Linked DNA regions of Rattus norvegicus. The protein of the gene in region 3 interacts with the protein of the main gene of each other region in a pairwise test. Links are inferred from orthologs where the notes say so. Each region holds a gene or a part of one and is shown on either strand. Other genes may lie near its edges.

Evidence for each region.
Region 1: the proteins of Copb2 (region 3) and Copb1 interact in a two-hybrid assay, tested with the Homo sapiens proteins (2 studies listed by BioGRID, with this or other methods). The link is inferred for Rattus norvegicus from reciprocal best matches to the Homo sapiens genes COPB2 and COPB1.
Region 2: the proteins of Copb2 (region 3) and Copa interact in a two-hybrid assay, tested with the Homo sapiens proteins (2 studies listed by BioGRID, with this or other methods). The link is inferred for Rattus norvegicus from reciprocal best matches to the Homo sapiens genes COPB2 and COPA.

The regions. Positions count from the first base shown.
Region 1 is NC_086019.1:177,837,182-177,842,480, reverse strand, and holds the end of Copb1 (coatomer subunit beta), read left to right. Parts: intron 1-1,022; coding exon 1,023-1,168; intron 1,169-1,799; coding exon 1,800-1,889; intron 1,890-2,451; coding exon 2,452-2,607; intron 2,608-3,356; coding exon 3,357-3,416; 3' UTR 3,417-3,730; downstream 3,731-5,299. UniProt on the Homo sapiens protein: The coatomer is a cytosolic protein complex that binds to dilysine motifs and reversibly associates with Golgi non-clathrin-coated vesicles, which further mediate biosynthetic protein transport from the ER, via the Golgi up to the trans Golgi network.
Region 2 is NC_086031.1:87,077,029-87,082,785, reverse strand, and holds the start of Copa (coatomer subunit alpha), read right to left. Parts: upstream 3,919-5,757; 5' UTR 3,813-3,918; coding exon 3,773-3,812; intron 1-3,772. Other genes in the region: Ncstn (nicastrin precursor), read left to right, coding at 4,039-4,120, 5,449-5,553. UniProt on the Homo sapiens protein: The coatomer is a cytosolic protein complex that binds to dilysine motifs and reversibly associates with Golgi non-clathrin-coated vesicles, which further mediate biosynthetic protein transport from the ER, via the Golgi up to the trans Golgi network.
Region 3 is NC_086026.1:108,046,675-108,051,883, forward strand, and holds part of Copb2 (coatomer subunit beta'), read left to right. Parts: intron 1-566; coding exon 567-653; intron 654-855; coding exon 856-982; intron 983-1,780; coding exon 1,781-1,929; intron 1,930-3,815; coding exon 3,816-3,962; intron 3,963-4,427; coding exon 4,428-4,527; intron 4,528-5,187; coding exon 5,188-5,209. UniProt on the Homo sapiens protein: The coatomer is a cytosolic protein complex that binds to dilysine motifs and reversibly associates with Golgi non-clathrin-coated vesicles, which further mediate biosynthetic protein transport from the ER, via the Golgi up to the trans Golgi network.

The DNA.
Region 1 (5,299 bases), on a different chromosome or scaffold from region 3:
AGAGGGGAGAGCCCTAAACTGACAGAGCAGTGCTTAGAGTAGAAAGGAGGGAGGAGGTAGTGTGCTTTAGGGATATGTCTTTAGGTACAGAACTGTTAACTAAAGGAAGACAGTTTTGGTAATCCTGTCTTCCCTGAAAGTAAAAAGAGAACTTAGATCCCTATCAGAGTATAACTTCAAATTTAGGCTTTTTTGTTTTCGGGGTTTTTTTTGGGAGGAGGCGGTGCTGGCTGGCTGGTTGGTTGGTTGGTTGGTTGGTTAGTTGGTTGATTGGTTGATTTTCTTGAGACACGGTTTCTCTGTGTATCCCTGGCTGTCCTGAAACTCATTTTGTAGACCAGGCTGGCCTCGAACTTGGAGATCAGTTTGCCTCTGCCTCCCAAATGTTGGGATTAAAGGTGTATACCACCACCTAACTTTGCTTTTGTTGAGACAGAGTAACCCAGACTAGACTCAAATAAAGTAATAAATACTTCTGCTTCAGTTCCAGCTTCTGGGATTATAGGCATGTATCATCACAACCATCCCAGATTATGTCTTTCTAGGGAAGAGACAGTCTTAGATAATCTTATATTACTAAATTTCACCAACATATAACCAAATATTAGGAGGAAAAGGTTTGGATTTATAACTAGGTCCCAACTATGAGAATACTGAACTATTTGTATGTCTAGTGTAGTACCTGGCCCATTATAGCTGAGATATATATATATATATATATATATATATATATATATATATATATATAAACAACAAGAGACAAAGTGTACCTGAGCCTAAGGTCTAACTCCTAAGTCCTATCGCTTACCAGTTCTGTAACCTGAGGAAACTTATTTGACTTACCTGCTTTCCTAATTTGTGAGATGGAAAATAGTAAGGTAGGATTGATGGCGCTATTCAGTTGGTAATATTTATAAAGCACTTAGAATCTAGTATATATAAATATTTGCTAATGTCATAAATATTTGTTATTTTGAACTAGCATCTACCCTTTTGATCGGGACTCTTTATGTTTATTACAGTTTATGATGTCTCTGGAGCAGCAAGTGACAGAAACTGTGTGGTCCTCAGTGACATCCACATTGACATCATGGACTATATCCAGCCTGCAACTTGCACTGATGCTGAGTTCCGTCAGATGTGGGCCGAATTTGAATGGGAAAATAAAGTTAGTCGTTGAGAGGTTTCCTATGCAGTTCTTCCTTATGACTAGTGATGAGGGTTTTTTTAAAGTCATTCCCCCCAAAAAGCATAAGAAGTGAGAAGCAAACAGTTCTTCATTATGTGTTCCTGTGTATTATCTTAACGAGAAACCATGCAAGTACTTTGGTAATTCCGTGTGGTGAATGGCAGTTCTTTTTGGAATCTTGTGATGGTATCTTGCTCTCTAGCCTAGTCAAGTCTCCAGTGCCCAACCTTCTTGCCCATGTCATCTTGGCACAGACACTAGAGTGTGCATCACCACACCTAGCAAGTCATAACTCTGTAACTACTTTGGTTGAGACCGTGTAGACAAGATCCCTCCTGTGCTGTGTCGGGATGATAATCTACCATTGGCTCTCGTATCCTCAAGGCTGTGCGAAGTCTGTGGCCCAGTGGGAAACTTTGCCCCCTAAGTTTTCTGTGAACTCTGTGTCTCTTTGACGGTCTAGGGAGGTATCTGTCTGGAAGCCCTGCCATGCCAGCTGCTTTCGTAGCAGTCATTACTTTTTTATTGCCCTTCTTCCCTCCATAGTTGGCAGAAAGCTGTAGGATGAAATGGCTGTGACGCACAGTTTACTGAGTCCTCTCCTCTGCAGGTGACAGTTAACACCAACGTGACTGACCTGAATGATTATTTACAGCACATCCTCAAGTCCACCAACATGAAGTGCCTGACTCCAGAGAAGGTAGGAGGAGGCTAGAAGAGGTGAAATTCTATAAAAAGTCTATAAAAAAAAGTTTCTGTTAATGCCATAATGTGCATCTTCCTAATAAGAAAATGTCAGCTGTCATCTGGGGTGTGTAGCTCAGTGACAGAATGTTTGTTTAGCAGCACGCACGCACGCACGCACGTACACATACATGGGGGTGGGGCCGGGGGCGGGGGTGGGGTGTGGGTTTACTGCCAAATTAGTAGATTTTGTAGATTAGTTTCTTCAACAGTTTTTAAGTCCAACAAAAGAAGCCTTTCTTTATGGAAGTTAAAAGCCTGATACAGGAGACAAATAAGTAAATCAGAACAGAATATGTAAATATAAATTTGAATAAGTACTCTTAAAACTATAGAATGCACAGGGAATTCTTAAATTTTTATACATATATTTATTTTGAGTTTTGGCAAACTTATTAGCTCCTATACCAAGCACCACGTAAGTAAAGTTTTAAGTAATAGTTTGCATGTATATTGAGTTTGCCAAGGTATTATAGTTCTCTAGCCAAGTACTGGATCTATCACACATTTCTTCCCAGGCCCTTTCTGGCTACTGTGGCTTCATGGCAGCCAACCTATATGCTCGCTCTATATTTGGAGAGGATGCACTTGCAAATGTCAGCATTGAGAAGCCAGTTCACCAGGGACCAGATGCTGCTGTTACTGGCCATATAAGAATTCGTGCAAAAAGTCAGGTAATAACATCCTTTTTTGAGAACATCTCTGCACCAAATAGAGGAAGAATTCATATATGTCTTATTTCTGTGATAAATTTCTTCTGTCATAATTATGTTTTGTGCCTGAGATAAATATATACATACATACATATGCATGGTATTTTCTGAGGTTTAATTCATTTAAAATGGCTTATCTACCATATTGCCTAAAACATCGATTCCTGAGTGATGTTTGTTTTTCTTTTTTCTTTTTTTTTTTTTTTTTAAGATTTATTTAACGTACAGCATTCTGCCTGCATATGTGACTGCAGGTCAGAAGAGGGCACCAGATCTCATTACAGACGGTTGTGAGCCACCATGTGGTTGCTGGGATTTGAACTCAGGACCTCTGGAAGAGCAGTCAGTGCTCTTAACCACTGAGCCATCTCTCCAGCCCTCTGAGTGATGTTTGTGAAACAGATTCTATAGAGTTGTTTAACAGATAAGGCATCAGTCTAACACAAACCAACATCACTAAAATCAACCAGTAAACGTTTTTGGAGTCTGTCTTTATATCCTTTGTTTTGTTGTTGAATGTGACGTCGTCATCCAATGGAGGCGTAGTTAGGCTGTGCAGCCTGTTTGGGCATTGTTTCAGTAATCACTGTTGTTGACTCTGGGAATGTAACTCAGTCTTGGGAATACTCTCCTAGCATGTGTAGACCATGAGTTAATCCCAACATCACAAAACCAGATAAAAATATAAACATCTTCATTCTTCTTTGCAGGGAATGGCCTTGAGCCTTGGAGATAAAATCAACCTGTCTCAAAAGAAGACTAGTCTCTAAGAATGAACAAACGGTCCTCGAAAGTGTAAGGTTAAAATTTAGGTGTGGGCTGATTGGACTCCGACGTTTTTGTACTCTTTCATGCTTTATGCTTGTAGAATTTGAGTTCATGCTGAATTCATTCCAGCCCGTAATTTATAGCCTTTCCCCTAAATCAAGAATGAGTTTAAAATTATAGTTTGTCTTTTATCTTAACAGTTCTGAATGCTGTCCTCAAAGTATATAAAGTTCCTCATATGTACCAAGACCATTTTCACAATAAACAGATCTGTTCATAAATTTTTGTTATTTTATAAATAAATTACTTAATTTTAGATTTGTATCAGTGGAATTTCTTCTTTTTTTTACCTGGCCTATATTTATGAAGAGAGTTACAAAGTGAGTGACCTAAAATGGAGCGGGTACTGGTTTAGTGCATTATTGTTCCCTCATTTTCTGTAATGACATTAGTGTCTCTAAAACTCTAGGGTCTCAAACTTTGCTTCAAGGAAAAAGTATCCAAATTACCTGAGAAAAGTGTCTTTGGCTTAAAGGAGCTGTAAGACTCTGACTGCCATACTATTCTTGATGATCCTGAATTATTATGGAAATTAGATCATCTAAAATCAGTGTGAAAATTCATGCACATTCAGCATTGGGTGTTTGTGCTTGTTAGTAATTACAGTGGCTCTAGCCAGTGACAGACTGCACTGGGAGGATTAGCTTTGGGGGATTCAGCAGCTGTTCCGTTTCCAAATGGCCTCTGTTTTTCACTCCTTCCCTACTGTTCATAACTTCACTGGGCTAAGCAACACACACCCCTCATTATGACTCCACTTGTTTGTGAGTGCAGTGTCCCAGGCCCTGCCATTCTTTGGGCTCTGTACTAGGAATGATTGAGATAGACTGAGTTTTGCCAAATCTCAGCTTAAGCTATTACTTTGTCTTTCCTCCAGGGCTTCATCCTTCATTCCCCACAAGTCCATAGATAAGAGCTGAGGCAGAATGGAAATGACATCCTGTGTTGTCAGTGAGAACAGAATGATTTGTTGGGCCTGTAAGAAGATTAATACTTTGTATGATATCATAAATTTTGAAACCACTTACTGTTTTAGTCAGCAAACCAGAGAATTACAGGACATTTGCAGTCTTAGAGCACTGAGATCTTTAAACGCAGTCATAGCTGCCAACTAGGAGAGATACAAGGACTGTGGGAAAGGAGTCATTTTGATACAGAGTCAAAGGGTGGAGATAACTTGATGGGAGTTGAGGAATGATTGCATTAGATCAGTTCCCACACTGTTCTTTTGAACATGGGTTTCATTAAGCGACATTGGACATTCTGAAAGAAAAAGGGTCCACAGCTAGTAATTTAAGGAATGCTACATATAGTCCTTACTAAAGAGTCATAGTACACATTAGCATGCTAAAATTTCTGAGAGACCCTTCAGTGAGGAAAGTGGAATTTTTTTTTTTTTCTATTCTTTTTTTTGGAGCTGGGGACCGAACCCAGGGCCTTGCGCTTGCTAGGCAAGCGCTCTACCACTGAGTCAAATCCCCAACCCCAAAAGTGGAATATTTTAATCTTCCCTTGGTAGGGAATCCTTCCCCATAGGACACCTGTTGACACAGCCTGCACAGTCATAGTCTCAAGTTCACAGCTAGCTTGAAGTCTGAAGATGTATTAGGCTGTCCTCGAATGCTTGCTAATGTAGAGGGAGCAAGCCACACGTAGAATTTAACTTTATACCCAGTTCATTTCACAGTTTTCAGGCCAAGTTTGCTGGAATCAAAATCTAGTACTGGCATCCTGAGGCTGTGTCAGCAGTCCCAGCTCACATTGTCTTTTTTTTTTTTTTTTTTTTTTTTTGAGCTGGGGACCAAACCCAGGGCCTTACGCTTGC
Region 2 (5,757 bases), on a different chromosome or scaffold from region 3:
GATCCACCCTGTTTATTTTCCTTCCCTCAAAAAAGAATTTCCTGTACTCTCTACCGACCAATGTCTGAAAACAACCTAGTCCTTGTTACTCCATCAGAATGACAAAGGGAAATACTAGAAGAAAGCCCTGTTAACAGCCTGAAGTGCTTTATTACTTACGAACATGGAATTATGTTGCTATTTTGGAAACCTTTCTTACTTAAATATCTGATGTAAATCTTTTTATACTTCAGTTAACAGAAACTCATTCTTTTGTACAGCTGTAGGGAACAAGGGCACTACACAACATTTTTAATGATGCTTATTTACTCTGTGTGCATGACAAGTTTTCACGTGGGTACACACAAGCCGCACTGCATGTGTGAGGACAACTTGCAGGTGTCAATTCCCTCCTTCTACCATATGGGCCCTGGGGACTGAACTCAGGTCATTAGCCTTGGGCTAAGCACCTTAACCACTGAGCCATCTCACCAGTCTATCACATTTTAAGCTGATTTGAAGATGGAGATTTACTTCAGTGGAAGAAGATTGGCTTATCTAGCTCTGTGTATGATCACGAGTGTGTGTACATGCACACCCACACACACTCACAAGCTGGGCATGGTACTATACACCTATAATCCCGCATCTGGGAGGCTGAAACAGAAATACTGTGAGTTTGAGGCCACATGGTGTAAATAGTGAGACACGGTCTTTAAAAGACAAAATAAACAATACAAACAACAACAACAACAAAGCCTTACTCTTAGGAAACACTTGAATTCACCTTTAGTTTCTGGCTATTAAAATAAAACAGTTACTGAAGCCAGGTGGTTGTGACACACGCCTTTATTTCCTTGGGAGGCAGAGGCAGGCAGATCTGAGTTCAAGGCCAGCCTGATCTACATAGTAAGTTCTGGGCAAGCCAGGGCTACATAGAGAAATTTTGTCTGGAGGGGAGTGGGGGGGGGGGACACAAACCAAACCAAACCAACAAAAATGTCTACTGAAGATACTTCTATAGATAATATTGGCCAATTGCTTTAATAGTGCTTTAGGCTAAACACTTGAAAACTGAATGGCTATAAGATAGATTATGTCCATTAAAAAATTTGTGTAACATTTACTTGTGGGTGTGTATATATGTTTGTGTCTAAATATGTTTGTGTCTAAATGCACACATGTATGAGAATCAGCTTTCTTTTTTTTTTTTTTTTTTTTTTTGGTTCTTTTTTTCGGAGCTGGGGACCGAACCCAGGGCCTTGCGCTTCCTAGGTAAGCGCTCTACCACTGAGCTAAATCCCCAGCCCCTAGAGAATCAGCTTTCTTATTCCACCATGTGGTCATGGGGAATCAAGCCTTGGTGACAGGCACCCTTACCCACTGAGCCATCAGCCCACTGGCTTAGAACATGTACGTTTAAAGTTTTGGTAATTTGGGGTTGGGGATTTAGCTCAGTGGTAGAGCACTTGCCTAGCAAGCGCAAGGCCCTGGGTTTGGTCCCCAGCTCCGAAAAAAAGAAAAGAAAAAAAAAAGTTTTGGTAATTTTTTTCAAGTTTTTTTCAGAGCTAAAGTTTCTCTGTGTAGTCTTAGCTGTTCAGTGCAGGCTGGCCTCAGACTCAGAGATCTGCCTGCCTTATCGCACCAGGAACATTAGGGTCTTTTACAACATGGCCTCACTTTGTAGTCTAGACTGGTCTCCCAACTTGCAGGGACCCTCTTGCCTTAGTGTCCCATGTGCTGGGATTACAGGTGTGAGTCACCGCAGCCAACTCTGGTAGCTATTGCTTAGCTGTAAAAGCATTAGAGGAATATACTCTAATAGCAAGTTAATGAAAACACTTATTTTGTATGATGTTTTCTTTATTTTTATTTTTATTTTTTTTTTCGGAGCTGGGGACCGAACCCAGGGCCTTGGTTTCCTTTATTTTTATGATATACGTGAACCCCTCCTGAGACAGGCCTCATTATGTAGTCTCAATTTGTAGCAATTCTCCTGCCTCAGCTTCTCACGAGCTAGGATTTACAGATATGAACCACTACATCCAACGTAGCACTTTTATATTTTTAATTGTGGGTACCTGTGCAGAGGTTATGTGCACAGAAATGTAGGTGCCTGAGGCAGAAGAGGGCACTGGAGCCTGTGGAGCTGGAGTTACCGGCAGCAGCGAGCCACATGCCTTGAGTGATGGGAACCAAACTCTGTAGGGACAGTATGCCCTCTCGGCTCTGATCCAGCACTCTTAATGAACTCTCAAGTACTGATTTCCCCCACCCCTTTCTAGTACCCAAGAAGAAAGCTGAAAAGAGCTCATCGAAAATGAAGACTCATTTCAACTACTTAAATACCAGAAGCTGGTTTTTGTTTGTTCTTTTAATTATGTATATGTACATGGAAGTTCAGGTGCCCACAGAGTCCAGAAGAGGGGTCAGGTCACCAGGAACTGGAATTACAGGTGGATGTGAGCTGTTGAACTAGGAACCAAATTCAGGTCCTCTTCAAGAACAGTAAATTTTGTTAACCGAGCCTTCTCTCCAGCCCATAGCACCTTTTTTGGGGGGGTGGAGTGGGGATAGGGTCTCAGTGTGTAGGCTTGTCACTAGATATGTAGACCAGGTGGCCTCCAACTCACAGAGATCCACCCTCATCTGGCTCCTGAGTGCTGGGATTAAAGCCATCATGACTGGCACCAGAGATGATGATTCTTTTCTCTTCTTTCTTTCTTGCCATTTTGAGACAGGGTCTCTCTGTGTAACCCTGGTGGTACTGAGAATTCTTAATGGCACCCTTTACAATCAAATTTCCCATGAGACTTAGAAACTTCTCAGAATATAGTCTCACATTAAATAGCCTCCAGTTTTTGAGGTACTAAGTCTGGCCAAGGCATATCATAATCACATTAATATACTTTCTCATTTTAATTCTCTATAAGAAAATGTTAATTATCCTTATTTTTAAAGATAAGCATATAGAGATTTAGAAGTAGTTAAGTAAGCCACATAAGGTGGCTTGTTTAGATGTTTCAGAATTCCTAAGCAAGTTCGATTGACTCCAATGAACACATTCTAAACCACTTTACTATAATGCATATTACAAAATATTCCAGATATATTTTTATCAGATTTCTGTAGACTTAATTCCCTGCTTTTCTAACATCAACATTTTGAAAGAGTGTGATCTCAGGCCTTTGTCTTTCAGATTATCAAAAAAATTGTTTATCTAGTATTCAAATCTAATACAAAGCATCTTGTATTTCATCGGACAATCCTACCAGTAGCAGGGCTTTACGTTCCCTAATTCCAAATAGGCAAAAAAGAAAAAAAAAAAAAAAGTCCAACGGAAGCGCTGGACATTAAAATGGTGCAGACAGGCTACTGGAGTAGCCAGTGACTGACTCCGGAAAAAGCTACAGTGACAGAAGGTGAGAATCAATCCCCAAAAGTACTCCATACAACATGGTCATCAAAAAGCGTACAAGTCACAAGACCTTAAGAAAAGAAAGAGCTGGAACACACCCCCATAAGAAATGGACGGAAAGAATAGGAAGTGGGCCTAAGAGCTCTCCTACAAAACACAAACGAACCATGACACGAGTAAATCCAAGTCCCAGGACCCACTAAGCAGTGCAGACTGCAGAGACTCCACTAACCCTAACCCGCCTCCCCTCGGTTATTCCTCTGGGCTCTTCCAGTAGGCCCAATTCGGTCAACGGGTCCTCCCATTCTCTCTTCCTTGGTGACAGCACCTCCCCTACCATCCAACCTCCGTAGTTCCCCTCTTCTTCTTCACTACCTTTCACCCGCGCGCTTTTGGTCTCGAATTTGGTTAGCATCCTTCAGGCCTTCGGCTCCCAGGTCAGATTAGCGGATCCCGCCGCTCCCGGTTGCACTCCCAAAGGCTCCACGTCAGCTACCCCAGGTCGCGGCTCCCGGAAGCTCCTCAGACACGAACTTCCGGTTTGGGGAGCGCTGGGCCACAGAGACGATGCCAGCGGAAGCCTAGAGAGACCGCTAAGAGACTGGAAGGGACCCGAGGCTTCCGCCCAGCGGAGAGGCAAGATGGCTACGGCTAGGGGCGGCTCTGGGCCTGACCCAGGAAGTCGGGGTCTCCTTCTTCTGTCTTTTTCCGTGGTACTAGCAGGTGAGGTCACCCCACCCGGACCTCTGATCTTTAAGAGGAACCGTGCGGAACAGCTCGTCGCAAGTGCAAGCGTTGCCCTTCTGGTTCCGATTTCCCCTCTGTCCCCAGCCCTGTAAATCCTTCTTGTCTTTCGTTCCCATGACATAAGTTCCTCCTTTACCTGAACCTTCATTTCTTCTCTCCGGAGGCATGTCGTTTCGCTTAGTTCTCCCCAGCCCTTTTCTGGGTTTCCAACCTGCTTCTCTTCAACCTTATTCGCATGCCTTGTATGCCTTGTTTTATTTAAAGCCCAGCCACCCCAACAGCAATTAAAAGGGACAGGTGTGAAAAGCTCATCCTCTTTCCTTTGGTTTAGTGTTTTTTTAGATCAAAACAGTCTTGTTTTGTGGTCTCCGTGCAACGTTGCAAAATAAGAGCTCTCATTTCCTCCTGTTGGTTCTAGCTTAAAGTTGTGTTCCTTATTCTCTTTACTTATTAAAGTGAGGCTAACGTTAGCTTCGCTGCTCTAAACTGTTAAGAGGAAAGTAATGATTCAAGGAATTTAAGACGTTTAATGTATATGAATATTTTCGTTTTTTCTAATCTAATGTCTATTTAAGTGATCTTGCAATTGTGAATTACAATCAGTAACACACCTGTAATTATTTATAATGCGTTCAACTAAGAGTTAAGAAAAGCTATACTTTTTTGGAAATGTATGGCTTACCAGTTAAGCCCTGAAATGCAACCATTTCCTTGTATAACCATGACTCTATATTTCTCTACACTCATATTGCTTTTGACTAGCTTCAAGGGAGAAACTGTAGCTGCCCCATACTCTAGGTGTGCTCCCAAATGGTCTGATGTTTCATTAACTGAACAGGTGTGTGGCATAAGGTTTCTTCCCCCCAGGTCTGTTCAGATTCTGAGGTGGTTTTTATTGTTGTTAATGCTTTTCTTTGTTTGGTTTTGGTAATCAATATTCTTAAACCAGAGCTCTTTTCATAACTAATTAGTAATGTATCTATACAAATTAGAAAAGCAGATTTGTTTACCCTTGCAACTAGACGCTGGCACATCTGAAGTCAAAGACTTTGGACAATCATCTTTTAGCTTATAGTTAATTGATCACCATGGAGTTCAATAACTTTCTAAGATACACAGCTAGGTAGTCTTTACAACTCTTAATGCTCCAATAATGTGGTCAAGTAGTAAGAAGAATGATCATAACTCTCGTGTTAGACAGTGCGGTAGTGAACAATTTACCTAAACATGAATCAAGCTGATGATGGTAGAGGTTAATACAAATATCTTTCACTTTTGCCTAACACATTTTATCTTCCGGTCAGGATTGTGTGGGGGAAACTCAGTGGAGAGGAAGATCTACATTCCCTTAAATAAAACAGCTCCTTGTGTCCGCCTGCTCAATGCCACTCATCAGATTGGCTGCCAGTGTAAGTTGAACTTGGGATTTGTGTTTGTGGCCATTAATAATTCAGTTTGTATCCTGGATACTCAGAAGTACTCATGTCCTGCTCAGGAGTCCTGGTGTTCAAATTAGAGTAGATGTCTAGGAGGTGTTTATCATCCGTCCAACCAGGCAAGATAATAAGAGGCGGAATTTAGTAAATGCTATTTTTTTTTTTAAGATTTATTTA
Region 3 (5,209 bases):
CTTGAACTCTCAGCGATCTACCTGCCTCTGCCTTCAGGTGCTGGGATTAAAGGCTCATGCCAGCCACTATGCCTGGTTTATGGGCTCAATTTTTTAAAAAAGGAACCTAAGCTAAGAGACAATTCTCTCAACAGAGAGTGGAGTAAACTGCACAGCGGCTGAGTCACGAGCTGTTGTAGGTGTGGGCTGTACAATGGTCCTGCTTGGACAGTGTGGTGGGGAAGAGTGAGCATGGAGTCTAGCCTAGTGCTTGGCAGTGGTGCCAGAAGGGAGCAAATGGTTTCCTGGGTAGGTTTCCAGACAGGCGCGAAAGGCAACGCTGGAAAGGAGGGGCAGACCAGGACACAGGGTCTGGAGTGCCATCCGCCTTCTGACCATCTCTTCAAAGTTTCTGATTTTCAAATCTGCTGAAGAGAAGTTGATTGCCCCCCTCCCCCAATGTTGAGCTATCATTACATTTGTTTGACTAGAAATACTTCACAGACTGATGCTTTAATCCTAGCAGAATAAGACTCTTTAGTTACTTCTTCATAACTTAATGTGTCTATTCTTATTAACATTTCAAGACGCTGGTGAAGACCTTTGAAGTGTGTGATCTCCCTGTTCGAGCTGCGAAGTTTGTCGCAAGGAAGAACTGGGTGGTGACAGGAGCAGTAAGTAGCTCTGAGTATCAGATCCTACCCTCTCATTGGCCAGTGGTCATAGATACTAGTTACAGAGTTGTAATGCCTGGTTCATTAAGTTAATTAAACGTAGTATTCTGATGGTAGGAGGCTATACCTTGAGCTTGTAATACAGTTTAGTTGTGTATACAGTTTATCTCATATAGTGATGCTTTAAAATCTCCATTCCTAGGATGATATGCAGATTAGAGTGTTCAATTATAACACCCTGGAGAGGGTGCACATGTTTGAAGCACACTCGGATTACATCCGTTGCATTGCTGTTCATCCCACCCAGCCGTTCATTCTCACAAGCAGTGGTAAGAGACAACCTGCCTCAGTCCTGTGCACTGAGTAATGATTTGCTTCCCGAGACATGTTGTGCTTTAACTGCAGTGGCAAATGGAGCTCTCACTCCAAGCTTCTGTTAAACAATTTGAATCCATTACTGTGCTGTTGGTGCTGCCCACCTGTGTATTTTAGTATTTTAATAGGATTATATTGCAATTGCTCTAATTCCTGATGGAAAATTCGAAGGTCTAGAAGCATCTGTATCTGGGGAGCAGAAAGCGCATTAGAATGCTGATGAGCAGGCTGTTGGCAGATTGCCACAGGCTCTGTTGGTTTATCTGCATATGCAGACTAGCTAGCTCGCTCCCTGGTATTAGTGTAAAGCGACCCGCAGGAGGGCTGTTACCTGGGTATCCCTGAGTTGGTAGTAGTCTTTGAAATATTTATAAATTTAACAAGTGAGAACTTCTGTAAAAGCAGTTTATCTCATCAGGCAAATTCTGCCTCTTTCCACAGTCAGCTTTTTTAGCCAGACTTAGCCGGTAACCACTGGGGTTTTTTTGTTTGTTTGTTTAATTAAATTTAAGAAGTTGTCGTGTTTTTTGTATGTCTTTAGTAGCTGTCTATATGCACTTTGTCCGCACTGTTCTGTAGTCAGTATGCTCTGAGGTCAGGTAAGGACTTGAAGGACTTTCCCAGTATTAGTTCTATGGCATAGGTACTGGGACTGTGAACTATGCTACATGTGTTACCTTAAAACTCACTGAAACTGTCTTATTACAGAGATGAAAACAATCCACAACTGACTTGGCTCTCTTTTGGTATAGATGACATGCTTATTAAGCTCTGGGACTGGGACAAAAAATGGTCTTGTTCACAAGTGTTTGAAGGACACACGCATTATGTTATGCAGATTGTGATAAACCCCAAAGATAACAATCAGTTTGCCAGTGCCTCTCTCGACAGGACCATCAAGGTAGGTGTCCACTACGTTGGTGCGTTACTCTGGCTGGCCAGAAAGCCCCTGTGCTCCTGTGCCAGGCAGAAGCAACGCAGTAGAACATTGGTTTCCACTCTAGGATCTACAGTTAGAAGCACTGCCACGTTTCTAGGACACGTGTGTGTGTGTGTGTGTGTGTGTGTGTGTGTGTGTGTGTGTGTGTGTGAGAGAGAGAGAGAGTGTGTGTGTGTGTGTGTGTGTGTGAGAGAGAGAGAGAGAGAGAGTGTGTGTGTGTGTGTGTGTGTGTGTGTGTGTCCTTTAGTCATTCTTGTCTCCTCATCACTGGTCTGTTTTATATTTAAGTTCTTTCTGTTGCCATCCCCTCTTTCTGCCTCTTGCTGTGGACTGCTTGTCTTCAGGGTCTGTTTTGTTTATTTCCTGTTGGAGAATAAACTACAGATGTCTAAGAGTGAAATACAGGATGGTTAGGGCTAGCCTGGGCTGCTGATACAGACACCAATATGACTGACCTACTCGCTGTCCTCTAGCAATGCTCTGAGTGTTCACAGAGCAGTGCTTCATCAGCTCTCCCTCTGACTGCAGGTCTTTGCATTCTCGGATTTGAATTTATTTTTCTCTGAGCATCTTCATAGCTCTCTAAGGGTTAGCACAGATAGTCATTCTGAGAAAGTCCAGTCTAGCGCTCCAGTCTAGCGACTAATGGCTGTAGACAGAGTGTATGTCATTCCCTTTAGATTTTGTTTCTATTAACAGTCTTCACATTGAGTGATAATTCATGTAATTTAAAATCATTTATCCCTGTGATATCCTGGATATTTGGGATAGGAGCTGTGTCTCCCCTTGCACAGCCCCAAGGTGTTCTGGGAGAGTAGCACAGTACTTTGGCTCTACTGGATACTGACTATTTGTTGCCGTGAGTACAGTCAGATTTTCTCCATCCTCTCAGTACATTGACCTAAAATAAATTTCAAATCACATTACTTTTGCTTACACATTTGCTTACATGTATATAATATTTTTAGTAATTTAACTCATATAAGCTATTTTGTGTTTTAAGAGCTTCAGGTTTTTAACTTGACTTTGTTATCATTTGTTGAATTGCCCCTGCTTTTGACATAGATGGGAAACTGAGATCAGTTTTAACTTCTTCACTAAATTAAGTTTATCTGATTTTTTGAGTCAGGGTCTACAGTGTATGCTAAGGTGGCCTAGAATTTACTGTGTATCCACCCTACACTGGCTTCACATTCTTAATTCTCTCAGCTTCCCAGACACTGGGAACACAGGCGTGTGCCTCGCTCTCCCTGGCGAGCTCTTCCATTCTGACACATGCTACTCAGCACTAAGCTCCCATCCAATCAGGACCTAATTTAAAGTAGAGGTTTTCAAAGTGTTAATTTGTTCATTGATTCCTGCGCTTCACCTGTATACAGTTTTCTTAGTTTTCTTTCTGTTGCTGTGCTAAAACACTGACCAGCCATCATCCAAGGAAGTTGGGGAGGAACTCAAGGCAGGAACCTGGAGGTAAAATGAGCAGAGCTATGGAAGAACACCGTTCATTGGCTCGCTCCTCATGATTTGCTCAGCCTGCTTTCTTGGGTGGCACCATCATGCCTCCAAAGGCTTACTACAGGCCAGTCTGATGGAGGCATTTTCTCAGTTGAATCCCCTCTTCCCAGATAAGTACTTATGTCAAGTTGAGAAAAACATAACAGGGTCAACAACTGAACTATATCTATAATCTCCATGGAGAAGTGATTCTGCTTTCTAAAAATTATCATGAGACCAGAGCAAATATCCTGGAACACTGTGTCTTGGGCTGTGGTGTTTGATGTCTTGTGTTGAAAGCGGGGGAACTGCCTCTGAAAGTGCTGACTGGCAGATGCCTCTGTTCTCTGAAGGTGTGGCAGCTGGGCTCTTCATCACCAAACTTCACGCTGGAGGGACATGAAAAAGGCGTGAATTGCATTGATTACTACAGTGGTGGTGATAAGCCATACCTCATTTCAGGTGCAGATGACCGGCTCGTTAAAATATGGGATTATCAGGTACAGTTTCTATAACCTTCCGTGCTGTATGCTAGGCAGGTCTTCACTGCTTCCGATAGCACCTAAGACGGAACTCTTCACAGAGTCATAGGTTAAGGCCCCAGTATTTACAGCTAAATTGTGGTCCTAGAATTTTCCCCTTTATAAAAAAGAATGCAAATGCATTTTAAGATTTTAAAAATAAGATGCCAGCATGCTTATTGTTTGTTTAAAACCGTCATATTAAACCACGCATCTTTGAGTGTCCATGTTACCAGACTTCTGTATCTGAGTGAAACAGACACAACAGTGAGTGTTGTGAGGTAACCGTGGTACACATTTCACCATGGGAGCAGTCATAAACCAAGTTATTACCCACATTGCTATGCTTTGTGTCTCTAAGGCTTCCTTACACCCCTCCCCCTTTGCTTCTAACATGAGTTTCCCAACAGTAGAACATAGTAACTTTCTGTGTCTTGATTTCAGAATAAAACTTGTGTGCAGACCCTGGAGGGACATGCCCAGAATGTGTCATGCGCAAGCTTCCATCCTGAGCTGCCCATCATCATCACAGGGTCAGAAGACGGTAAGTTAGAGTCTGTTATATGTGTGCTTGGCATGACTCACTGCATATTTAAATCAAGTGGTGGCCCTGCATGGCACTGGGCGGTTTCTAGCAGTTTCCATATCTTGATTAGGATTCTAGACTTAAAATACAGAAGAATAAAAGGGTTTTATCATCATCACCATTCTAATGACTTTCGACTCTATCATTTAAAGATAAGGACATCAAGTATTCTAGAAAAGAACTGAAAAGGCCTGTGCATTGGAGTTTGACAGACTTGGTTCAAAATCAGGCCCTGTCACTTTGCAAATGTATGGTTTGGATAGACTAAGAGATAAGAATGTGTTAGTCTACTCATAGGGTTATAGCAAGAGGGAAGGAGAAATCACACACAGCAAACATGTACTGCATGGTAAGCACTCTACTCAGGGAACCCTGCTGTGATTTTACAATTAAGATTAATTCTAGTTTTCTAGTTGCAAGTTGGTTTTTTTTGTTGTTGTTGTTGTTGTTATTTTATGCTTATGTTGCTTTGTAAAATCAGCTAAAGAATTAGAGATCTGAATGTCATACAGTTGCTAGAAAGTACGAGTACTGACTTAGACTTCTAGCAGCTCACTCACCTGAGAGCCATTTTGGATGTTCATATCCAAAGGGAATGTTTACATTGTTGATTTTTAGGAACGGTGCGAATCTGGCACTC